Pelodiscus sinensis: one gene and its partner. The protein of the gene in region 1 interacts with the protein of each later gene in a biochemical or structural test. Links are inferred from orthologs where the notes say so. Each region holds a gene or a part of one and is shown in the gene's direction. Other genes may lie near its edges.

The links. The genes of interacting proteins can lie anywhere in the genome.
Region 2: the proteins of GLI3 (region 1) and ZIC3 form a complex in vitro, tested with the Homo sapiens proteins (2 studies listed by BioGRID). The link is inferred for Pelodiscus sinensis from reciprocal best matches to the Homo sapiens genes GLI3 and ZIC3.

What each region holds. Positions count from the first base shown.
Region 1 is NC_134712.1:165,508,205-165,516,033, forward strand, and holds the start of GLI3 (transcriptional activator GLI3), read left to right. Parts: upstream 1-4,829; 5' UTR 4,830-4,959; intron 4,960-5,214; exon of another isoform or gene 5,215-5,501; coding exon of another isoform or gene 5,502-5,547; intron 5,548-6,772; exon of another isoform or gene 6,773-6,867; intron 6,868-7,829. UniProt on the Homo sapiens protein: Has a dual function as a transcriptional activator and a repressor of the sonic hedgehog (Shh) pathway, and plays a role in limb development.
Region 2 is NC_134723.1:35,733,517-35,741,292, forward strand, and holds the start of ZIC3 (zinc finger protein ZIC 3), read left to right. Parts: upstream 1-4,770; 5' UTR 4,771-5,047; coding exon 5,048-6,095; intron 6,096-7,221; coding exon 7,222-7,385; intron 7,386-7,776. UniProt on the Homo sapiens protein: Acts as a transcriptional activator. Required in the earliest stages in both axial midline development and left-right (LR) asymmetry specification. Binds to the minimal GLI-consensus sequence 5'-GGGTGGTC-3'.

The sequences.
Region 1 (7,829 bases):
GAAAAGGGCTTAAGGCAGGACTACTCAACATGTGGCTCGTGGGCCAAATGCGGCTTATGGCCTGTTTGTTTGCGACCCACGTTGCAGTTTGGGTTTACACAGGGCTCAACACATGGCCCGCAGGTGGGAGCCAAAACAAAAAGTAGTCAATATAATGGTCTTCTGTTGGTATGCATTTTAGTTGTTACATTCCTGGACTGTTATTGCTCATTGAATGTGCTGTCATATGGGTAGAAATTGGGTAAATATTGCATTTCATTAATATCAGCAGAACTAAGTTAAATGGGGCTTGCATGTTGTGTAGTCTTGCCATGTATATGCAACCACATGTAAGTAGTAGCCCTCGACATGTGCTGTATCACTGTGGCCTCTGGGTTTTCCAAAGCTGAGTAGCCATGGCTTAAGGGATACCATCAAGTCATTCCAGTCCCCAAAATAGATTTTAGAAAACTTTATTAAGGCAAAAATGTTTTCATTACATTAAAAATAAGTGAGACAATACTTACATTTTTTAAAAAATAAACATTTATCAGTAGTGCTGGGAACTGACACAGAGCCACTTTTTGCAAGCAAAGGAATTTGAGAAAGTGAAACTGAACCTAACAATCACATTGACCCTTAGAAGTTTAGTGAAATGCATAAAATAAAAATAAATAAATTACCTTGTGGAAATTAACTTAGACTTGTGTAATTCTTGTAATTTTAATTATCTGAAATATTCCACTATATGTGGCTCTCTCTTTCTCACATTCATGGTATTGCCAACCCACTGTGGTTAAAAATCATGAGTAACCCTCTCTCCCCAGTCACAAGACTAGTTTAAAAGTATGAGACAAAACAAATAATGTTTGGAGTTCTTTTTATATGTTTACTGCTTTTTGAGCTTTTAGGGTGTGCTTAGACCACACTTTCAAGCTTTGACCTAGAAATATGAATGTGAGAAATGTATTTTTATTTAAATGAAAGCTGAGATTCTCATCTAATCACAGAATTTCAAGAGCTGGGTCTTTTAGAAAAGCATCAAATATCATGCAACCCGCACTAAAAGAGTGAGCAATACTTTATTGTCTACCCCCAAAAGTTAAAAAATCGTGAGTCAGAAAATCAGAATGGTTCAGAAATCGTGACATTAAAAAATTGTTTTTTGGTCTGCCTTCTGATTTTTGAACTTCCATTGCTAACTGCTAACGTAGTGTTGGAATTGCTAGGGAGCAGGTGCTTGATGAAAAGGAGAGAGGTGCTGGGAACTCTTGAATGGTTAACAGTTACTTGGAACACTTGGATGGCAGGTGAGGCACTTCTGAAAGTTAGAGGGTCCCTGGGAGATGGGTTATAGTCAGTATATTCAGGGTTTGGAATGGGGAGAGGGTGGGAAGAGGATTCTGGTGCAGCAAAATGTGTGGGTGTAAAAGAGCCTGAGGTTACAACTGGGACTCTCATCTTCAGCCTTTGCTGCCATAGTGCCTTGCTTCTCTTGGCTTCTATGTCCTGCCTTGATCCAACAGGGGGAGCAGCAAGAAGGAAGGCAGCTTTTGATGCACTTCTGAATGTTTGAGTTTTTCACAAAACTAGATACTTGGTGGCAGCCCTGAGTTCTAATGGCGCCTTATTACCAAGAAGTGGTTGGCACTGATGGCACAGAGATGGAAGTTAACATTGACCCACTGACCTAATCTGCATGAGGCAACACTTGCTCCTGAAGGAATCATATGGATGAATTTCTCAGTGCAGGTTTTATCAATAGGGTAATGCAACCCCTTAGTAATGATTTCTTATTAATATAATATTTTTATCTTGCCACTACTTCTTTAAAGTATGAATTCTCTAAAACAAAAGTGAAAAATCTTCAAGAAGGAACCTCCTTAAACAAATCTGCCCATTTTCATTTTGTTTAGCTGAAGGGCCTTGGATGTCCTAAGCTTCTGTTAGGTATTTCATTGTCAAGGTGTTGAAACATTTACAATACATTTCAAATAGCAAATGTCACCCCCTCGCCTTCATTTTTTCCCCTTTTTTTGCTCAGTGTGACCTATTCAAAGAGGCAAAGGCAGAAAGCCTGGTTGTTTCTTTGTTACTCCTCTTCCTTCAATATTTTCAAGTCTCGGAGATGTATCAGAAGTCTCTTTTTTCATAAGCAGAAGTCAAAACACTCAGATTCCTTTTAAGTTTTTTAATTTCTTAGTTGTCTTAATGAGAGAGCACTTGTGATTTGAGGGAGCAAGGGTTTGGGGAAGCTGAGAGAGATGCTTTGAAAATACTCAGTGTGGGTGAGCATAGTAAAAGATGAAATATTATTTTGTGGCATAAGAAATTGTTCAGATTTACAGTAAAGATGAGTCCAACTAGTTCAGAAGTCAACTATTGTTTTCAAGAGGAGCTGTGATTTAAAAAGACACCCTCATTGCTTAATGTGTGCCAGAGATTGCCTGTGCACCGCTAGGCTTGGCAGTTCAGAACCTGGCACCACTGGATTTGTTGCATCAGTTATGAATTAAAATAACAAAAACAAAACAAAACCTTTTGGAGCCCCTGAATCTATTTGCTTGAGCCCCAGCATCTTTTTAATTAGATATTAAGCACTGCACACCCTCAATTTAAAATATATTTGTCTCAATATTTTTACTGGCTATTGTTACAACTAACATCTCAGATTACTAGGCCTGAGATTAGATAAAGCACATTTTTCTCATTAGTTTCTCTTTGTTTGATAGTACTTTGTGGATAGTTAATCAGTTTCCCCTTTGGCTTCTGAGGATATTTCATGTAGAAACAGGGGAGAGAAAAACATTATTTACAGGAAAATGTGATTATAAAACCACCAAAAAATGACATGGATAGTTAAAAGACACATGTAGAATCTGCAAAGACTCTTAATTAATTTTAATTTATTAGAGCTTAATTTGACTTTGTTCAATTTTAAAATATAAAAAATTCTAAAGCGTGTAAAAAAAAAGAGTGATTAAAATAGGCTTCTAGCAGCATTTCTTACCTGTCATATGTCACATTATTACCATTATAGTGTCATGTGGCAACTGAATTTTTCCCACATCACAACAAAGAAGTCATAACTACTAGAAACGTAAGGGCATGTGAATGCCTGTTCTCACTTGCAGGTGATATTGTAACAAAAAGCAGACTGCATTATCTTTTTCCAAATTTAAACAAATTTGTTTGAGCAATTGGCTGAGTAAGAAGTAGGACTGAGTGCACTTGTAGGTGCTATATATTAACATTGTTTTATTTTTGAATGCAGATTATTTTTGTATATAATTCTACATTTGTAACTTCAACTTTCAGAATAAAGAGAGTGCTTGTATTAAATATACTGAAAAATACTATTTCTTTTATATTTACAGTGCAAATATTTATAATAATATAAAGTCATCACCATACACTTTGTATAGTGTTATAATTCACATCAATGTATTTAAAAACATGGAAGACATCCAAACATTCTATATGAATGGTATTCTATTATTGTTTAAGAGCATGATTAAGTGCACAATTAATCGTGATTAAATTTTAACTACACAGTTAATCGTGATTAATTTTTAATTGAATGATTAATTGAGATTTTTATTGGCTTGGCATTCTTAGCACTTAAGCATATGCCTAGCTTTAACACTGACTTCAGTGAGACTCGTTGTGTCCTTAAGCATCTTGCTGAATCAAGATCTAATCAAGAGTGAATCTGTTGAATCAGTTGGTAATCAGATTATGGCAAAAGGAGCAGATGAAAGGCTAAGTATTGGACTATATCATTTGGTATACATCATGATGTATACATTTAGTCCTAGTCTGGGGAGAAAAACTAAAGAAAAGTGGGACAAAAAGTTCAAAAGCGGGTTTTTACAGGGAGAAAAGGACCAATACAGGAGAAGGAGGCAGTATTTCCAATTCTTATGAGCTTTGATATTTTTTCTTGCAGCTCCAGGTGCCAGAGTCATGTGATTTCTGGAGACTCTCAATTTCAATTGAAAAAGTTTCCAGGCTATGTGAGAGTAGAGCTAAGCCTGTGAATGTGAATCCCGAAGGCCCAAATGCCAAAAAGTAAATACAGAGAACGCCTCAAATTTGTTGTTGTTTTTTAAACCCTTAATTCTCTTGTGGAGGTTAAACCCATGAGTTTTGAATGCTCTGAGAAGGTGTGAAGACAGTGGGAAAGAGAGGGTAAAATGTGAGGGCCAGATAAAAAAGAATAGGAAAGGCAAACAAGTGAGCCTTTCTGACCCGGACTGAGAGCTGTGCACAGACTGAAGGGTGGGAAGGGAAGCAGACAGCGTAACAGAAGGTAGAGAGGAAGATGAAAAAGAGAGAGAACCTGATGCCAGAGTGAAGGAAGGGGGAAGTGGCTGAGTGAAGGCACCAAACCAGATTCTCCCCTTCCCTCCCAGCTATGGGTGTGGCCTCCTGGTGTCTGAGCTGAAGCCGAAGGTTTTTTTTTTGGGGGGGGGGGGGGAGGCTAAAGTAAAAGGAGGGAGGAGAAGAGGGGACATAAGATTGAGAGCGCGTGTTTGTGCTGCTCCCGGCTTCTCATTCACCCAGCACTGATCAGCACACCCGCCCCACATGCCCCCTGCTGACTTCGGTCGCTCCGGTCTCCTCCGCGAAGGAATCCCACGTTCCCCAGTGGCCAGGCGGAGGGGAGCGGGTGACCCTCGCGTTTGTAGCCCTTCCAGCAGGCAAATCCAAAGGGGGGACCCTTTTCCCCGCGCCAAAAAGTTGAGTGTCCCCGACCCGCCCGGCAGGGGGTGGTGGGGGAGCCCCAAAGTTGCCTCTTTCCCCCGAAGGTCATTCCCCTTCCTCTGGTGCAGAGTGGAGAATTGAAAGGGAGAGGGGGGAGGCGGGGTTGGTGGTGGAGAAGAGTCCAGCAACATCTGTAAAACTTGGACTCGAAGGAGGAGGAGGAGGAAAGGAGCGAGGCAGAGAGGAAGGCAGAAGGGACAACTTTTCCAACACGTGAGTATCGGAGCAGGGGTGTTTTTATGGCCCTCCTTGGGTGGACTTAAAAAGAAAAGCTGCGGTGCGATTGACATGGGGTTTTTTTTGGGGGGGGGAGGGGGGATGGAGGGGACTTCCGATGCAAGTTTTTGCTCCAGCCTGGTAGATTCTCTCCCCCGCCTCTTCCCCGCGCCTTTGTTGAACCAAATCAGAAATGTCAGTCCGGGCGAGTGAGTCAGAAGGGATCAGATTACAAGATCACTGAAACTGATGTCGGATCCGCGCGCACACAAACGGAGCGGGCTTCGCTCCTTCTCTCTCCTGCAGGGAGGAGGGCAGGAATAAAACAAGCACCAATACAAACACACACACGCAGCCCGGCCTCTTCTCTCCCAAGCCGCTTCCCTCCCCCCCCCCCCCCGCAAAAAAAAATCCCAGAAGCAAAATGCCCGCTTTCATCCTTTGGGGTCGGTCCTGTTAAGCTTTGCCAGAGGAGAGAGAAAGAGAGATCCCCTCTTGCAGGCACGGTGCGGGGGAGCTCCAGCAACCCAACCTTGCCTATGGGAAGTTTGGGGGGCTTGGCAGAAGCAGCGGCAGCCGCAGCAGGTATGTGGACTGAGTTTTGCAAGAAGTTCTTCTTTGTTTACGGGGCTGTGCGCAGTGTGTGCCGAGAAGCCAGAGGGTTGGGGGGCACTGTATTTTCATTTCCGAGCTCATTCGCGCGCTCTCTTTTTAACTCGGACGGGAGGGGAGAGGGAGGCGATCTGAGATCTACCCCCAAAAATGGCTGTCAAACTGTCCTTAACTTTAAGCAAAACAAAAAAAAGTATGCAACAATATGCAAGTACTCTCTCCCCGGCCCCTCTCTCTCTGTGCCCTACTGCACTCCGAAAGGATTTTGAGGCTTACTGTCCCACCGTTGAACTGCAGATTTGCATGCAGCAGCTGCTTTCTTCCCAAAAGAAGCTGCTTGTTATTTTGCGTGCCAGTTTCTTTGGCTGCAACTTTGTTGCTGTAGCAAACACCCCGTCCTGTCTGGAGAAGTGCAAGGATTCGCTGGGGGGAGAGGGAACACTTTAAGTGTTAGTTTTGGGGAGAGAAAAAGGCGGTTCGTTTTCTATTATGTTTTGATTAACCTGGTGGCGTTTCAGGGGAAGGTTTGGAGGTAGGATGAGGCGCCCCGTTCATTCATAACGGAGGCAGAGTGAAAGTTATGCCCTTTCTGTGTGATTTTGTTGTGACTGCTGCCTTTGGAACTTGGGTAACTTGGGAAGCTGCATATACCAAACTGCTGAGCTCTGTACACCCTCTACAACTCCCCCTCCCTCTCTTCCTCTTTCCGACCCCCCCCCCCCTTCCCTGCTATGTATGAAGAAAAATATTACGGGGGAAGGGTTGAGTATGAATCGCTCCCGACAGTTACTGTCTCGGCTTTTTTGGAGGGGAGGGGGTATGGAGAAGAGGAAGAAAACACATATAGGATTTGGTCCGTACTAGAACTTCTGCGTGTTCTTATAGCAAATAACTTTAAAGCTTTAGGAAAGTGGATACGCTGTTGTTTTAATTAGCCTGTAAACTTAGGTTGTTTACACAGTTGCTCTTCTTCCAACCCAGCTGATATAAACACACACACACACACACACACACACAAATGTGCAGCTTCCAAGTCCAGGCACCACGTGAAAAGAAAAGGTGAAAGGAAATCCCCTCCACTGCCCCTCCATTTTTTAACCCTCTGGTGTATAGTTTTGAGCTGGTCCTTTGGGTCCAGTGTTTGTGGCCTTCTGCCAGTTTATATGTAGATATATTTATGTAAAACATTTTCTCTCAGCTCTTTGCCAGCTGTTCCACATTTTCCAGCTGCCACTTCTGTTTGACATGATGGACTGTATGGATCTCAAAGTAAAAGCGCCTTTTTAGTCAAAGGTATGGATGGTTGTCCACTTGGTATATAATGTTTAAACTCTCATTAAGCAGGGGAGTGCTAGCTAGTAATGCATGCCATGCGCCACACTTTATTTTCCAGGGTTAATAAAGGGTATTTTTTTTATTTTGAAGTTTCATCATGCTTATTTAACTTCATTTATGTTGGATCACAGAAGAACTCAAATATAAATATGGTTCAAAGCCTTTGAAATATGTGGCTAATTAAATTAACAAACCTTTTTAAGACGGCGCCAGAGTCTCTCACTGTCTGTGTCTATATGCCTGATATATATGTATCTATATGGGAACAATTTAAGTCTCTTTAATACTTAGAAACCATTACAGTTCTTTGTGTTATACAACTCTTTATGGTTCAGTATTTTGGGAGATTATGGACAGAAATCCACAGGAACGAACGGGCCTTAACATATTTTGAATATTTGTGCAATTGCTTTGTAATTTTGAAAGGTACCTCTCTGATTGATTCCTATAATTATTTCATTTAGGTCCTTTATTAAAAATTAATAATGAGCTGACAGTTTCTTAATTACATATGTCAAGATTATTTTGAAGGAAGAAAAATGCTATGTTTTCAAAGATGGGTAACATAAAAATGAAAAAAAATAGTTCATTAAAATATATCACAGGATTTCTGTTGAGGGATTATATTAAAAGTAATGGTGAATGAATTTAACAATGTAAACTGAATGATGTAGCCTCATAATTGGTTTATGGAGTGAAATGTAAGGCTTAACAAGCTAGTACATAAATACATTTAGTTGGTTAGACTACATTCAAATTTAAAGCAAACATTAAATAACATTATTTGTTTGACAAGGCTACTTTTAATTGAAATATCATTTCTTTTACACTAAAGATCATGTGGTTGAGAAATCTAATGTGTGAGGAAAAGGCACTGTTTTAGTACATACTGTTCTTTAAAAAAAAGCAGTAAAGGAAAT
Region 2 (7,776 bases), on another chromosome or scaffold:
GAGAAAGAAAGTGGCCTGGGATTCTCTGACTGAATCCGACTGTATGTTATGAATTATTCTGGCTTTGAGAGCTCTGGTTTTGGAAAGGAAAGAAGAACCCTTGGGGTTATTTATGTATTAATTTTGGTATTCAGTAAAATTGAAAAATAGCCTGCAGATTTCCCAACCCTACTGAACCCCCAGTTATTTTAACCCGGGTTTGTTCCTTCGTGAATTAAAACAGAACCTAAACTTTGCCCAGAGAAGCCAAATACAGGAAAAGATATTGCAAACAAACAAGAATTCCCCACTACTTTTATTTGCAGTATCTCCCCACTGTTCTTCCCAAGCATCACTCTAGCAGTTTAGCGATCTCTGTATGCTTATTAGAGACATTTGCTCACCTTACTATCGCTTTTGATTATCTAGGATCTAGCATACAATTCATCCCAGACATGTATTCAATTTAATTAAATCATTATAGTCCTCGGAGCAAGCGAGTTCCTACACACTTCTATTTTTTTTATAAACACAAATCGTGTCTCCCCCCCCCACCCACATTTTTGATACATTAAAGTATTTCTTCCTGCCTCTTTCTGCACTTTGATTTTCTGAACCCTTTTCTTTGTCGAAGTTCAGACCTGTTTACTTCAGCCGGTATCTCTGAAGTTCAAATGTACATGTGATTACCCCTCGACTGATTGACAGTTACAATGAAAATGTCTCATTCGCTTCTGGTTTGCATTTAATTACACTGGAATTGCAATATGGTTATGGCAGAAGAAAAACTACGTTCCTTTCCGCTTATTAGTGATATCCATTTGTCTATGATAGACTGCATTGTAAAAGGAATTTAGCGCTCGTAAAATATTTGCCTTTCTATCTGGGCTGCAGTTTTAAAACAAAAAGTCTTTATACGGCCATAAAAAAATAAACTTCCAGTATAACCCAGCGATTAGCTTTTAAGCACGCGCAGAACTGATGGGAGATCAATACAGAAACTTCACCTGAAAAGCCCCACAGAGAAATGATCTTTACAGGGAAAGAAATGACTTGGGGAAATTTGCCTTTTGCCTGACATTACTGTGAGGAGCATCTAGTCAGTTTTCACTCAGGCAACAGTCCCAGAAACTTTAATGGGAGTTGTGCTGGAGTAAGAGCGAGAAAATGAGACTTATAGTCAAGAAAACACCACTTTTGGTCATTTTCACATACCACACACGATCCTAGGTCTGGTGTGCATTCTACAGCAAGGCGAACGTTGTGTCCGGGGGCACAAGAATTTAGCTAGAAAACCCCTCCCTCCCTGTATAACCAAAGAATCCTGTATGGAAATAAATCAGGGATCCTTCGCAGGAAGGAAAGGCGCTTTGCTGTTTGAAGGGGGCTTTCGGATTTGGAGAGTGTCAAAATTCCAATTCCATCCCAGATTTGAAAATAACCCCCCCAAAGGGGCAAATTACACAAACACGCGTTGGACGTAAAACTAGAATCCTGATCTCCGCCTAGTCTGTTCCTTCCGACACAAAACACCGGATGACGACTGCACAATGCTCTTTCCCCCCCCCCCCCCACTTTTTATATTTAATGGATTTAAAGGTGAGAGGTATTTGACCTTTCTGGCTCTGCGAAATAAACACGAGGAATCTTGGACTGGTTCTGTGCTGCACTGAATCAAAACCACTATTGCGTGAACTTGTCAAAAAACACACCCGCCCCCCATCATGGGGGCTTAGTTGCAAAAAGGGAAAAAATAGAGTAGAACCCGCTTTTACATGGCATTTGTGTAATTACTGGCTATTTCGTTTCAAATATAAACCAAATCAAAATAAAATACAAGTCCATCTGCACTATTTTAGATACATACACTCATTATTCCACACACAGCTCTAGACCCGGCAGAGTAGAACCGGGAAACGTATAAAGCAAAGATTTACAGGCTAATTTATGTCGCCCGATCTACAAGTAGACTCCAGCCTGTCAGTGCTGATAATGTTGCCTTCTGCTAAGCAATAAAATAGTTTCAAGAAATGGCGAATCCTAGCTCATTTAAAGCCACGGTTTCTTTCCACGCTCGTGTTGCTTCTCTTGAGAAAAGGTGGCGCTTTTACCACTTGAAGAGCTAATATTTTTATAGGCAAAAACCTTCCCCATCTCAGCCCAGCTTTTCCTGGGGAAAGCCAAGTTTGACTCCCTCCCTCTCCCCTCCGTGTTAAAAGGTCCTCTGTAAAATAATAATAATAATAATAATAATAATAATAATAATAATAATAATAATAAATTGAGCTGTCTGGCAAAAGGGACTAGACTCTGAACTTCACTTTCTTTTGCAGAGTTATTTCATAAACTGACATCTGCATAAATGTACCCATCCAACCTTTCAGAGCACCTGGGTCAAAAAAGAACCAACCCACCCATCCAACCCACAAATCCCCTCCGAGGACAGAGATCTCCTTGGGTTTTCGTTCTGAGTAGCAGCGCGCCTGGAAGTTGTTTTACATCATATTCAGGCTAAAGACAATGAGGAGACCCACACGTGAGGCCTTCTGCAAAAGCAAAAGGCCATTCGCCCTCCTTGCCCCAGGTCGGGAACTTCACAGGCATTTCTCTACCCAATACTCGCCGGATGATCTAATTGAATTATGCTTGTTTTGTTGCAGAGACAACACAACACGTGCTGGAGGTAATTAATTATCCGATCTGGGCCCTGACTTGTCCAAGAGACCAGGTACATCACTCGTAAAGATCCCTTCGGTTTGCAGTGTGCCATAAAACACCGAAATGGGGAAGTTAGATATTCTTTGCTGAGCCGGTTGAGAGACACTCCGCCATGAATCGGAGTCCAGGGGCCTGGGTCTGAACCACCAGAAAAGACCGGAGCAGGTTCCTGCGCTGGGCCTGGGTTTACCACACTTCCTCCCACGACCCCCCAACCCACCAGAGTCCTCCAGCATATCCTCATCTATCCACATCCCACCTAACAAAGAACAACAACTGCGTAGTTCTCCGAGCTTTCAAATCCCCCCTCGTTCGTTTTATTTCCTAACATTGATTCTCAGCTTTGAATGTGCCCCGTGCAGGCAAATTCAGTCCCCGTTGACGTGTGTTTGTGTGTGTGAAACAAAACCCGAAGCAAGCGGTTCCCTCCGAGCCAGGATCCCGTCTCTCTCCTCCCTCCAAATCTGCATTAAATCTGCTATTTTTTTTCTATTGCAAGAGGGGTTTGTTGTTTGTTTGGTTTTTTTCTCTCGAGATGCAATAATCTAAGACAGAAAGGACTCACCTTCCAACTTTGGGAATGTTCTTGATGGCTGTGGAGTGTGAATTTTGATTGGTTTGATGGGAGATGGTGTTACTACTGAGGGAGATTTTATATCGGTGGCTTTTTTTTCAAACCCTAAAATAAAGAATGTGGAGTCTTTCCTGGGGCTGATTGGGGGGAAGGATGTGAAAGGGCTGCAGTTATAAAGCGCTGCTTGAAGCAGTCTCTCAATGCGTCTCTGAACTTGATCAGATTTTATGTTTCCTGCAGAGAGACGGCGGCAGTCCTGTGAGACCGGCTCAATAGACAGACTTTGGGGCTCAGCAAATCTCAGGATATTACAATTACAGCCATCTTTCTTTCTGCCTTTTATTTCCACTCTTGCTCCCCATCGTTCTTTGCAAATGCTTTCCAGAACAGAAAATGAGCGGATTTATGGGGCTGTCTGCAGCTGATAATTATTTCAAGGCAGAACTTTGCAACGGCAAAATAATAAATAAAACCCATCAATAAATAAACACAATCAAATAAACAAAAAAGGGGCACCATTGATTGAGACTTTGCTCCACGTTTCTAAACCAATTTATATAGCGATAAAAAGTGAGTCACTTACACTGTTTGTGGAGCTAAACCCCTCGGCATTTAAGCTTAAGAACATGAGGGGTTTATGCCCTTTATCTTGTTCAGCCCAAGATTTGAAATAATCTCTTATGCTTTTTTTTTATTTCTTTCATCTTCTTGTGGGGAAAAAGAAACGGTGTGTGGTAGCTAACCATAAGCAGGGCCCACCAAATTTACTCCTAAATAAAATCGCTTTGAACTCGAGGCTGTTCAGTTGATTCCACCCCCTTCCCCCGCCTCCCCCCCCCAAGGAAAAGAGACCAGTGTAAACGTTTGCAGAACAGCTCTGAATTATGCTGCCTTAATGGAGATTCGTTTTTAAACCTTTTCTTTTTTTAATAGCGCGGAAGATTTACGGTTTCCAATCAAGGTGCAATTTTTAAGCAGCTGGATCTCGCCAGCCAGCGAACGGTTGCCTCCCCATTGCTATCTCTGTCCTTTGATCTCTCGCTTGGCCCTGCGGTATGTCTCGCTGCGCTTTGGGTTTGAGTTGTTTCTTTTTTTTTTTTTAATATATTTTAAAAACCTGGGTGAAGACAGACGGGGTGTATGCGTGTGTGGGGGGCAGAAGACACCCTGAAAGGGGGATCCGAGTGGGGACATGTAAATAGACCTGAGGGGGTAGAGGGATGCAAACCCGGGACGCATGGTGGCTGAGAGGCAGGCGCTGCGGGCTAGGAGGGGGAGGCTGGAGCACAATTCGCTTCCAGCGCCGCGGGCACCGCGAGTAAACAAACCATGTGGGCTGCGGGCCCCCTTACCCCTTACCTGCGAGTCACTAAACCCGCGCGGGCCAATCAGCGAGCCGGCCGGGCCGGGAGCTGCCAGGGTCCCTGTGAAACTCTGCCACTCACCAGCGGCCCGGCCAATGGGCTGGCCGGCCGGGGGTCAGGTGACGCGTCGCCAGCCGGCTCCCCATTGGCTGGGCGCGGGCTGCCTCTCGAGTTGGTTTATGTGCGGGGAGAGCGCTATTGAGTGTAGCAGTCCAAGGACACTGCCGAGTGGGCCGGACGCGGAGCGGCGCAGCCGAGCTGGGGAGGGGGCCGCGGCGCTGGGCAGCCCCCCGAGGCGGGCGCGCGTGGGGCTGTCGCGCGTGGGGCCCGCGGGGCAGGAGCGCTTCCCCCCGCGGCCGGCCCATTGTGTCGGGGGGACCCTCCCGCCGCTGCCCGGCGGCCGTCCCGCCCCATGAGCATGCTGCTGGACGGGGGGCCGCAGTTCCCCGCGCTGGGCGTCGGGGGCTTCGGGGCCCCGCGGCACCACGAGGGGCCGAGCCGCGACGCCGCCGCCGCCGGCGGGATGGGGCTGAGCCCCTTCGGGGACGCCTCCCACGCGGCCGCCTTTAAGCTCAGCCCGGCCGCCCACGAGCTCTCGTCCGGCCAGAGCTCGGCGTTCACCCCGCAGGGCTCGGGCTACGGCAACGCGCTGGGGCACCACCACCACCACCATCACCACCACCACCACCACGCCGGCCAGGTGCCCGCCTACGGGGGCGCGGCCGCCGCCTTCAACTCCACGCGGGACTTTCTCTTCCGCCAGCGGGGCTCCGGCCTGGGGGAGCCCGCCTCCGGCGGCGCCCAGCACGGCATCTTCGGCGGCTCCCCCGGCAGCCTGCATGGGCCGCCGGGCATCGCGGAGAGCCCCGGCTACCTGCTCTTCCCCGGGCTGCACGAGCAGAGCCCCAGCCATTCCTCCCCCGGCGGGCCCGTGGAGAACGGGCAGATGCACCTGGGGCTGCGGGGGGATCTTTTCGGGCGGCCGGACCCCTACCGGGCCGTCTCCAGCCCCCGCACGGACCCGTACGCCAGCGCCCAGTTCCACAACTATGCCCCCATGAACGTGAATATGGGCATGAACGTGGCGGCCCATCACCACCACGGCCCGGGGGCTTTCTTCCGCTACATGCGCCAGCCCATCAAGCAAGAGCTGTCCTGCAAGTGGGTCGAGGAGACCCAGCTGAGCCGGCCCAAAAAGAGCTGCGACCGGACTTTCAGCACCATGCACGAACTGGTCACCCATGTGACGATGGAGCATGTCGGGGGCCCGGAGCAGAACAACCACATCTGCTACTGGGAGGAGTGTCCGAGGGAAGGCAAGTCTTTCAAGGCGAAATACAAACTGGTGAACCACATTCGCGTTCACACGGGAGAAAAGCCCTTCCCGTGCCCGTTCCCAGGCTGTGGGAAAATCTTTGCCCGGTCCGAGAATCTGAAGATCCACAAAAGGACGCATACAGGTAAGGAGAGAGGGGGAAAATAAGTAACGGGGCGTGTGAATGATTCAACAGTGGGAAGGAAAGAAACCCCCTACTATCCCCCCCCTTCCAATCGATACCATCGTGTGAGATCCAAGCCCCTTGGAGAACTGGCGAAAAATGTTCCTTCTCCCCGAGCTTGGAGGCAAATGCCGTATTCTTTGTCGTTCTTGAAAACTTCTCACTCGGGGGGTTTAAGTCGTTTTAACCTCCGCCTGTTCCACGAGCGTGTTAATTTCACTCAGCGATACCAATCGCTCATTTCTCCATAACCTAGCTAGACTGAAGATTTCGTCCGATTTTTTTTTATTGGCTCTTTTTTGGGGTTTATAATGAGGCAAAGCAAAAAAATTGAGCGTGGATTGCTTTACAAACGATTTAGCTGTCTGCATACATTCTGTTAAGGAAACTATACAAATGCTAATTAAATCTAATTTTCGGTTACTTCCGTTCTTTTTTAGTCTTGATTGGCACATCTCCTAATTAAATCAGTGATACTTTTGTCAAAGTATTTTTATTTGGAGCTTCTGTCTTCAATTCAGAGCGCCACAAAAGTAAAGTAAAACTAGGAAAGGCAGGAAACCCACACGTTTTCTTGTCTTGTTGGCTACATCTTGTAAAACTGCTGTGTGGTGCTCTCGAATTTATGTAGGTACCCCTCCGCCCTCCCCATCCTAACATCAAGTACTGGTAGTCTGCCTTTAACACTTCGCCTAGCACAACCGTTGCATTTGAAAGAGGCAAATTAAAAGTAACAAAGGACGGATAGAATTTAACTGTAACGTAACAAATCCTATTGTCTGATCTTTTTGTGTGTGTATGGATGTGTGTGTGTGCATACTATCTCCACCGGTAGAAGCTTGGTAAAGGAAGGTGCGGAAGGGAAATAATAAAAAAGAGAAATAAAAGTTTTGATGCTTGGTGTATTTCCGCTGACATTGGAAGAAAAGTGTTTGTGAGACTACGGACGAAAGCCAAGAGAGAGTCTCTCACCCTCTGCATCAAAGTAATTGTTGTAAGCGAGTTGCCAAAGCGATCGATCCGCTAACGGGGAATCGAAATGAACCTTTCCTCTGTAGTGTCCTTTAACCCTTTCTGAATTTTGCAGGTGAGAAACCTTTTAAGTGTGAATTCGAAGGCTGTGATAGACGCTTTGCGAACAGTAGTGACAGAAAGAAGCACATGCATGTACACACTTCAGACAAGCCTTATATCTGTAAAGTGTGTGACAAGTCTTACACCCATCCCAGCTCTCTTAGGAAACACATGAAGGTAATTTAACTCTTGATCGCTTTTCTGGCTCAATAAATTCGAAGCCTGTTCTCCCCTCTCCTTCCCCCTTGTTAAACTACATTTGTGCAACGATCGATGCAGCTTTAGGATGACACAGTTCATCCACTCTGAAAGATTTGTATTACAGCAGTTTGCACTCCTCTCCGATTGATGAAAATGACTAGTGGAACTGTCCCTTTTCACACCTTCTCCGCAGTTCTAGCTGTAATTAATAGCTAGGCCCTTTCAGTAACAACAATCGTTTGGATAAATTGCATTATTTATTTTCTTGTTCCACAGACGGGATAGAAAGACGGTTTAAAACCGTTCTTGAGTGAGTGATATGTAGCTGCAAACGAGGAGGAAATTATTGGAATGTTCTTAAAACATT